2 linked regions of the Xenopus tropicalis genome follow. The protein of the gene in region 1 interacts with the protein of each later gene in a pairwise test. Links are inferred from orthologs where the notes say so. Each region holds a gene or a part of one and is shown on either strand. Other genes may lie near its edges.

The links. The genes of interacting proteins can lie anywhere in the genome.
Region 2: the proteins of rab3il1 (region 1) and rab11a interact in a two-hybrid assay, tested with the Homo sapiens proteins (2 studies listed by BioGRID and IntAct). The two-hybrid records come from large-scale screens. The link is inferred for Xenopus tropicalis from reciprocal best matches to the Homo sapiens genes RAB3IL1 and RAB11A.

Annotation. Positions count from the first base shown.
Region 1 is NC_030680.2:22,488,878-22,492,531, reverse strand, and holds part of rab3il1 (guanine nucleotide exchange factor for Rab-3A), read right to left. Parts: intron 2,709-3,654; coding exon 2,596-2,708; intron 1,975-2,595; coding exon 1,951-1,974; intron 274-1,950; coding exon 174-273; intron 1-173. UniProt on the Homo sapiens protein: Guanine nucleotide exchange factor (GEF) which may activate RAB3A, a GTPase that regulates synaptic vesicle exocytosis. Promotes the exchange of GDP to GTP, converting inactive GDP-bound Rab proteins into their active GTP-bound form.
Region 2 is NC_030679.2:116,825,407-116,829,108, forward strand, and holds the start of rab11a (ras-related protein Rab-11A), read left to right. Parts: upstream 1-824; 5' UTR 825-874; coding exon 875-914; intron 915-3,702. UniProt on the Homo sapiens protein: The small GTPases Rab are key regulators of intracellular membrane trafficking, from the formation of transport vesicles to their fusion with membranes.

The DNA.
Region 1 (3,654 bases):
GAGCACAAACATTTATACCTAACAGTACATAACCCTGCCTGCAAGTGACAGACCCAGTGGTAATGGCTGCCTAGTAACCACCCCTCAACATCTGCAGTATTTCAGTGCTAGATAAACAGAGAATGGACAATGTTGCCCTCTCTTAAAAAGATAGTAAACTAAGGGTGTCTCACCCTGTACCGGCAGGATGGCGAGATGAAGTAATAATTTCCAGAATCCCCTAGATTGATGCGATGGCGGCAGGAGCGAGACAGGCCGCTGAGTGCACATTTCCTGCAGTGAAAGTCAACAAATAGTGAGAAAGGGAACAAGAAACACAAGAAATAAAAACAAGCAAAAAATTCTTTGGAGGGTCGTGGTGCACAATGTAAGCATTTCCATACATTTCCACCTGCCCCTCATGTCCCCCATCCCTGCCCACTAGGTCTCAGGAATTAGGGGTTCCTATAGAGGAAGCAAACCTCACGGTCTAAGCCCCCTGTCCCCCAAGGCGCCACCGCCCCCCTCCCCCCCCCCCCAGTTCATCCTCTATAGTTACGCCACTGAACAGCACAGTGTGCAAAGTGAAAAAAATCAGGCATTTTCTAACACTTTGCACATTGTATTAATCATTTCTTATATATTCGCAGGTCTGCGCTCTTTTTCAGATGCGTGCCCCTTGAATATATCTAAGAGGGGTGGGCGGGGAGAGGTACAAAGGGGCTCTATAAATAAACACTAATATTTATTAATAAGATGCATTCAGTGATGATAACCATAGCTTTTAATGGAGCAAACCAGGGTCGTTCAGAGGAAAAGGAAATCATTACCAAATTTAGAACTGGAGTCCCACTGGATTCTATGGGGGTTTTCTAGATATCAGGATTGTGGATAAGAGATCCCACACCTATACAGTTGTTGTTGTTGTTTGCATCAGGGAGAGGATTGTTAGTCTGAAGGAGCTTAATAACCAAACAAATAAAGAGCATTCAAGAAATAGATTTAATAAACATGTCCCGCACTTTGGTGGGTGTTTTTTAAATCACAGCCTCCCATTAATGTTGCTGAACTGACTCACACTGCTGTGTTATGGTCTGTGGGTCAATAGTGACTCAGTAGAAAGCATTATTCAATTGTTTATCTTCCCATTAAAGTATTCTGTCCCTCCATTCTGTTTGTATTTCGACCATCGCTTCTTATAAATAATTATTCTTCTGTGTATATACTGGAATATACTGTATTTACTGGTATAAATATGCCGGGCAGTTTTGTTTTTTTTTTCCTGTACCGCGTGTGACCCAGAGCATTAGTCCAAGTCATTTACAAAATTAGAATTCAGTTGGCTGGTTTGACCCCAGGTATCTCCCAGCAATTGCAGTTCAAGCACAACATTGTACATTTATGCAAGGCAGTGATGGTCGGTTATTCTGGGACCCTGACCAATACTTAGTGCAGTATATGGTGCAGTTTATCACAAAAGGCCCCAAATATTATAGCAGTATAACGGTACTGGGCCCAAAAATAGACAAACAGATAGATAGAATCCACAAGTATACCATGACAATCAGTGGACCTATTATTAGGGTTTTGACCCAGACAGCCCTTCCAAAAACCAGGCTGCCCAGTTTTCCACATAAGGAAAACCAGGCAGGCCTCGCTAAGATTGATGTGGCAATTGCCCACTGTGATGTCATTGCCTGCCCTCCCCGTGACATCACTGCCCGCCCCCTGCCCAGAGAAAAAGCCAGCAGAGGTTGCAACCCTACCTAAGATATGCTTTCTAGGGACAAATAAATGTATATACAGTATTCTGCATGTTTTTGCTGACACTTTGCAAACAAATAAAGCTTTTTTTTCATTAAAATTAGTCTTGCAGTTACTGGGTTAAAGACAGCCCTAAGAAGCCATTCTCTTATTAGTCCAAGTCATTAGTGAGTTAATTAAAGCAGAATTATGCTTCATCTCACTTACGTTACAACCTCTACCCGACACCCGCTGGAAAGAAGAAAGAGAGAGAAAAACATGGAGGAGGTCACGCTATGCATTGTATATGGGAGTGGTAACTCTTTGGCTAAATGACATGGATAACACTGTTAAAGCAGCAGTGGATTGCATTAGGTGGAATTGGAGAATAGGCCCAACAGATGCAAAGAAGACAAACTGATTATGCACCGGCTGAACATAAACACTGCTGCACAGAATGAGCAGCACTCAAAACTTATATAACATATTCACATTAACGGGGTTCATTCAAACAGTTATGTTGCGGCCCATGCAAACTAAGGGCAGTGGCACATAGGGAGTGTTTTGCTGCCGCAGCCATGGGTGAGTAACTAGTTCCATGGGTAGGGGACAAAATACTTTAAATGCCTCTCCATTCACATGTATGGCAATTGCCTGCAACTGCAAGTGTACTCGCTTGTCAGTAATGCTGACTGCAATGTTTCCAACAATATTTCCAACAATGACCTGGCTAGCAAGGGCACCAGTGCTTTCATGTGAGAATGGCGGCCAACTGAAAGCATTTTGTCCCATGAATCAGTGTGGGTAGAAAACACGTTGCCCTGCATATCATTTGCTATTTTGTGCCCTAATACATTTAATAAGCACAAATACCTGGGTCCCCCACGTTCCACTGCAGAAGCTTTGACAACAGGCAATATGGGTTGCACCACTGGTTCCACAGACAGCATGTTACCCTCCACGGCAGTCAGAACCTGATCTGAGAGCTGCAGGAATAGAAGAACCATGATTCCATTCATAAGCACAGGAAAGAGGCTGATGTGCAAGTATAGCCATTTATCCATCACTCTTTCTCTTAACATCTGAAATCAGCACAGACATATGCAATAATAATGTAGGTAGGTGGCTCCGAGGTTATGAAAGAGGGGGCCCCTGGCAATGCAAAAGTGAGGAAGAAGTGTACATAATATACACATTAGCAGAAAGTCAAGTGACATCTGTCATAGATACTGGTGCTGCAGGACTAAATATTAGTCACGCCTGCAGCTGCATTAAATGCAAAATAATCCTCCAATGAGAATCCCAGGTGATCCATGTAAATCTGTCCCCTTCTATAGAAAACAAGTGGGCGCAGCTTTATAGTTGGCTTTTGTGTACCATTAAGTAATTATCCCACTGGACCATGAAATTCAGCTTTTTTGAGAGATAATTGATGGCAACTGAGGTTACAGAATAGGGAATTTGCTACCTTCCAAATACTACTTGTGCCATTACCCTAAAGGGGTCGCTTGCAGCATGACTTGCCCTGCTTCTTTGTAGAAGAACCAACATCACAGTACTTCTGTGTCCCATGATTACAAGAATTTTCATTCAAAGTGTCATTCACCAACTCAAACCTTTTTTAGCCAAGCTTGCAGCAAATAATTATTTGCCTTTATTTATAAAATAACGTAATGGACCCTATTACTTAAGACTAATGTAAGACCAGGCATTTGGGGTATATTTTCGGCAAGCTCAAAAACGTTTGCCGAAAATACAGTCATACGCCTCCTACCTGTGCCTGCACCCGAATTAATGGAATACGCTCGGGTGCAGGCACATGACTTTGCTCGGCTATACGTGAAAATATATGCCATACGCCTGGTCTGACATTAGTCTAACACAAAATGATACATTTAATCAGGTGCCAGTTAAGATGCCTGTATGATATGT
Region 2 (3,702 bases), on another chromosome or scaffold:
TCACTGTTTAGCAACCGGAGAGCAAGAGGCTGGAGACCCATTTAATCTAGACTGTAAATTATCTCCATCTGTGTTAAAAGCAGTTCCAAAAAATAAAGCAGACACTTCTATCCAGAATGTTATAATGTAAAATGTTATACAGAACAGCATTAATGTATATAATCATTGTTGATATTTCATTAATAAAAAGTAATTGCTAATCAATTACATTTTTTCAAGCAATAAATGTGATATAAATCAAAATTTAGGTTCCACCGAGATTTGAACTCGGATCGCTGGATTCAGAGTCCAGAGTGCTAACCATTACACCATGGAACCGTCTATGAACACTTCACAACATACACCTTTAGAATTTTTCCATAGAGTTTTTCCTTCATATATCCTTATAATTATAGATATATTCATATTTGCATTGTCGGTTACTTTTCAAATAATCTCAGGTCCAAGTCTCCTCGTTTAAACACAATCTCTGTTTTTGTTCCACTTCTCACTGCGGCTGCCCAGCCCACCCAGCTTCAATCAAGGCCGCCATCTTACTACTCCCAACCCCTCGCCGACAGTGCAAGTAGGTGCGCACAAAGGCATTTCAGTTGATAAAACATGGGAAACGTGCAGCAACGTTGCTAGCAGCCCCTTTACTCATACATTAAGCACCTCCCGTTAGACATGAAAAGAAACATCTTGTTTGTCAGACTCGCACCATTGCGCTCAGTTGCCAGGTAACCCGGAAGTGACGGTTGGGCCGTTTCCGTGCAGGAGTGGGCGGAAGTGCTGCTCCTGTTTCTGGGAGGGGTTCGGACACTGCCGGGCTTCCTGGAGATCTGACGGTTGCTGCTGTTAGCCGCACATCGCGAACGTCAGAAGTACCGCGAGGATGGGTACCAGGGACGACGAATACGATTATCTGTTTAAAGGTAACCGGGGCTTGGGGGGCGACTGGCAGCCTCTGCTGCACACTCTGGAGGTTAAACCTCTCGGTAACAAGGATGTAGGCTGACGTTTATGGCGAGAATCACCGGCTGTGGTTGAACTTTAGGCTGTAGCCAAGCTATTCCCGCTCCAGCTGGAGCCTGTCAGGGCGGTGACACTGGGGCTGCTGGATTCCGTAAATGGAATAGTAGATACAGGGCTGGGAAGCCCAGAGTACATCGATCCAGGTTGTTACTGTGTGAATAGATCAGGTGATCAGGCTCCAAAGTGTGGGGAAGTGTTTTGGGGTCGTGAGTCAGTGAAGCATGGGAGGAAAGGAGGGTCAGTAGGGTGTTTGTGGCTACAAGGACAGGAAACCCTTTTCTTTTCTAGGGGAAGTCGTTGGGAAATAGAAATAGAAGGAAGTATCTGTGCTACATTTGCTACAGGGGCACAGAGACAACATTGTTTTTCTCCAGTGTTAATAAAATACGAAAGTCTGCCTGACAGCTGCCTTCCATCCATTGGATGGTGTTCAGTGAAACTCACACTTCCTTGGGTCATGTGACACATGTGACATCACTATGTGCCAGTTCTAACTCATGACCTCATAAAGCCTTGGCTATGAGGGTGTATTTAAGGCGGAATTCATGGCTTTTGGTGTTGTATTTTTATTAAAAGGGATTGATGATGTAGTGGGGTAATGAAGCAAAAGCATTTTAGGGTTCAGCTAAACTCTGGGAATATGGGGATACACTGTAACAGATTATCAGTCTGTGCCTAACTCCCCCCACCCCCCTGCAGTCCCAGACGTTGCTTTCCTCTGTAGTTGCACCCATGTCATTCTTGGGTGGTGGTAGGAATTGGGTGTGTAGTTCCTCTGTTTTACTCACTTAAGGTGTTTAACTTACTGAAGGTATATCCTTTAAGGGCAAGGAAATATCCCTGGGGAGGATGCTGAGTGATTCAGTTCAGTCACTTCAGACTCTGGGCCCTTCCCTCTCTTTAAAAAATGCAGCAGCCTGGGGTACTTTCCTTCTCAGTGTTGCACCGCCGCACTCTTCCAGTGCCCCAGAACCCTCTGCTCTGCCTGGGCAAGTTACAGGGTATGGCACAAAGCATTTTTGGACGAAGAAGAGACCTGGACTTGGGTTGCATTGTGTCCAGCTCTGCTTGCCCTTTATATCATCACATCTTCTCGCCACTTAGTTCTCGGGTTACCATTCTGTTTATTTGCTCAGTCACATACTTCTCTTACGTTGCAGCTGCCCAGTGTACAGACGAGCGCATTAGGTGCAGAATCTTCCCAGCAAATCCAGCCATTTCCACCACACTGTGCTTGGCCAATCTCTCTTAATTTGTTTGTGATGAAAGTTATAATTCAGCAACAACTGAACTGGGATCGGGATTGCACAAATTTTCCATTTAAGCTATTGGGATTTGCACTCTGTTGGCAGAAGCAGGATGAGAGTTGCTAATGGAGGTTACTAGTATAATTATTCACTGGGTTTGGGAGACATTATGGCATTAGCTGTACTTTCAGCTCTGCCAGGGTTAAACATTGGTGAGGCTGAGAAGATGGAGTCAGACTTTCACCCTGCAGGTTGTGTTTCGTTCAGGGTCAGTGGCTAAAGCACTGTTTGACCTCTCGCAAGTCTGGAATGCAGGGTGGGGTAGTGAGGAAAGCACAGGTCTGCACAGGATATTAATTCATCAGCCCCCACCTCCTCCTCTTTCTATCAGGATAGGACTCCCACTTGTCAGCTGGGCATTTTGCTTTGCCTTTATTATTTCTGTCTCTGAATCCTTCAGGCTTTTTGCCAAATCCTTGCTTATTTGATTTAAAGGGGAATTCCACCCACATGCTGGTATTTTTGCCCTTCATTGGGTAGAAGGGTTTGAGTGGAATTCCTTTTTATTTCCCAGAGGGCAAATTATTTAAGAAAAAATAGCTTTATGCAGAATTAGGTAAGTTGCTGTATATGAGGCAGTTTACACCCGTGGGCCAAACAGGCGTGGGGAATTAAAAAAGAAATGAAATTGCACTGTAATTGCCCTGGGATTACACATCCATTGGTTATGGTGTGTGTCTTGCTTAGATCTCAGCTTGTAGGAGCAGTTAGTGTAAGTGCTATGGCTATGCAGGAGGGTTTGGGGGTCTATGAATTCTGTATGTTCAGAGAAATGTTGCCTGGCAACCGCGTGTCATGGGGGCAGTTTGGGGCTCCTCAGTTTGTGATCTCGACCACCAGCATTAAATGCCGGTGTGCCAATGCCCTGTGCTGCCCGAGTTCTCTGGGCACTGTCACTGCGAACAGCACATACACTTGCACAAGGCTTGTGTGCAGATCATGGGAGACTTGACAAATAGTAGGTGTGGTAGGTGTTGGTGTTCCATTCACTTATCGAACTGGAAAACTCCCTTCTCCTTTACCCCCTCCCCAAAATGTAACCTGTTTTATTTGCAGGCCTCGTGCACATACATGTTTAATCCCAGGCAGGTTGGTAGGTTTCAGTTACTTGGCCTGTTTTACTCACAGCCCATTTGTACCCACTGAGCTTTATGGGGTGACCCAGTTTGCACCGCAGTGTAAGTCTTTTACTCTCTCCCTCTCTGGGTTTGACCTGAGTGGCACCTAAACCCATGTGCCTATAATAATCCTTCTCTTTATACTGGGTTATGTATGTACCATGCAGGCTTTCCTTGTGCCAGATGGGCACTGACCTGCATCCTCAGCTGGCTATATAGCTCTGCCAGTAACTTCCCTCGGGCACAGCTTTGTGGCATTCTCT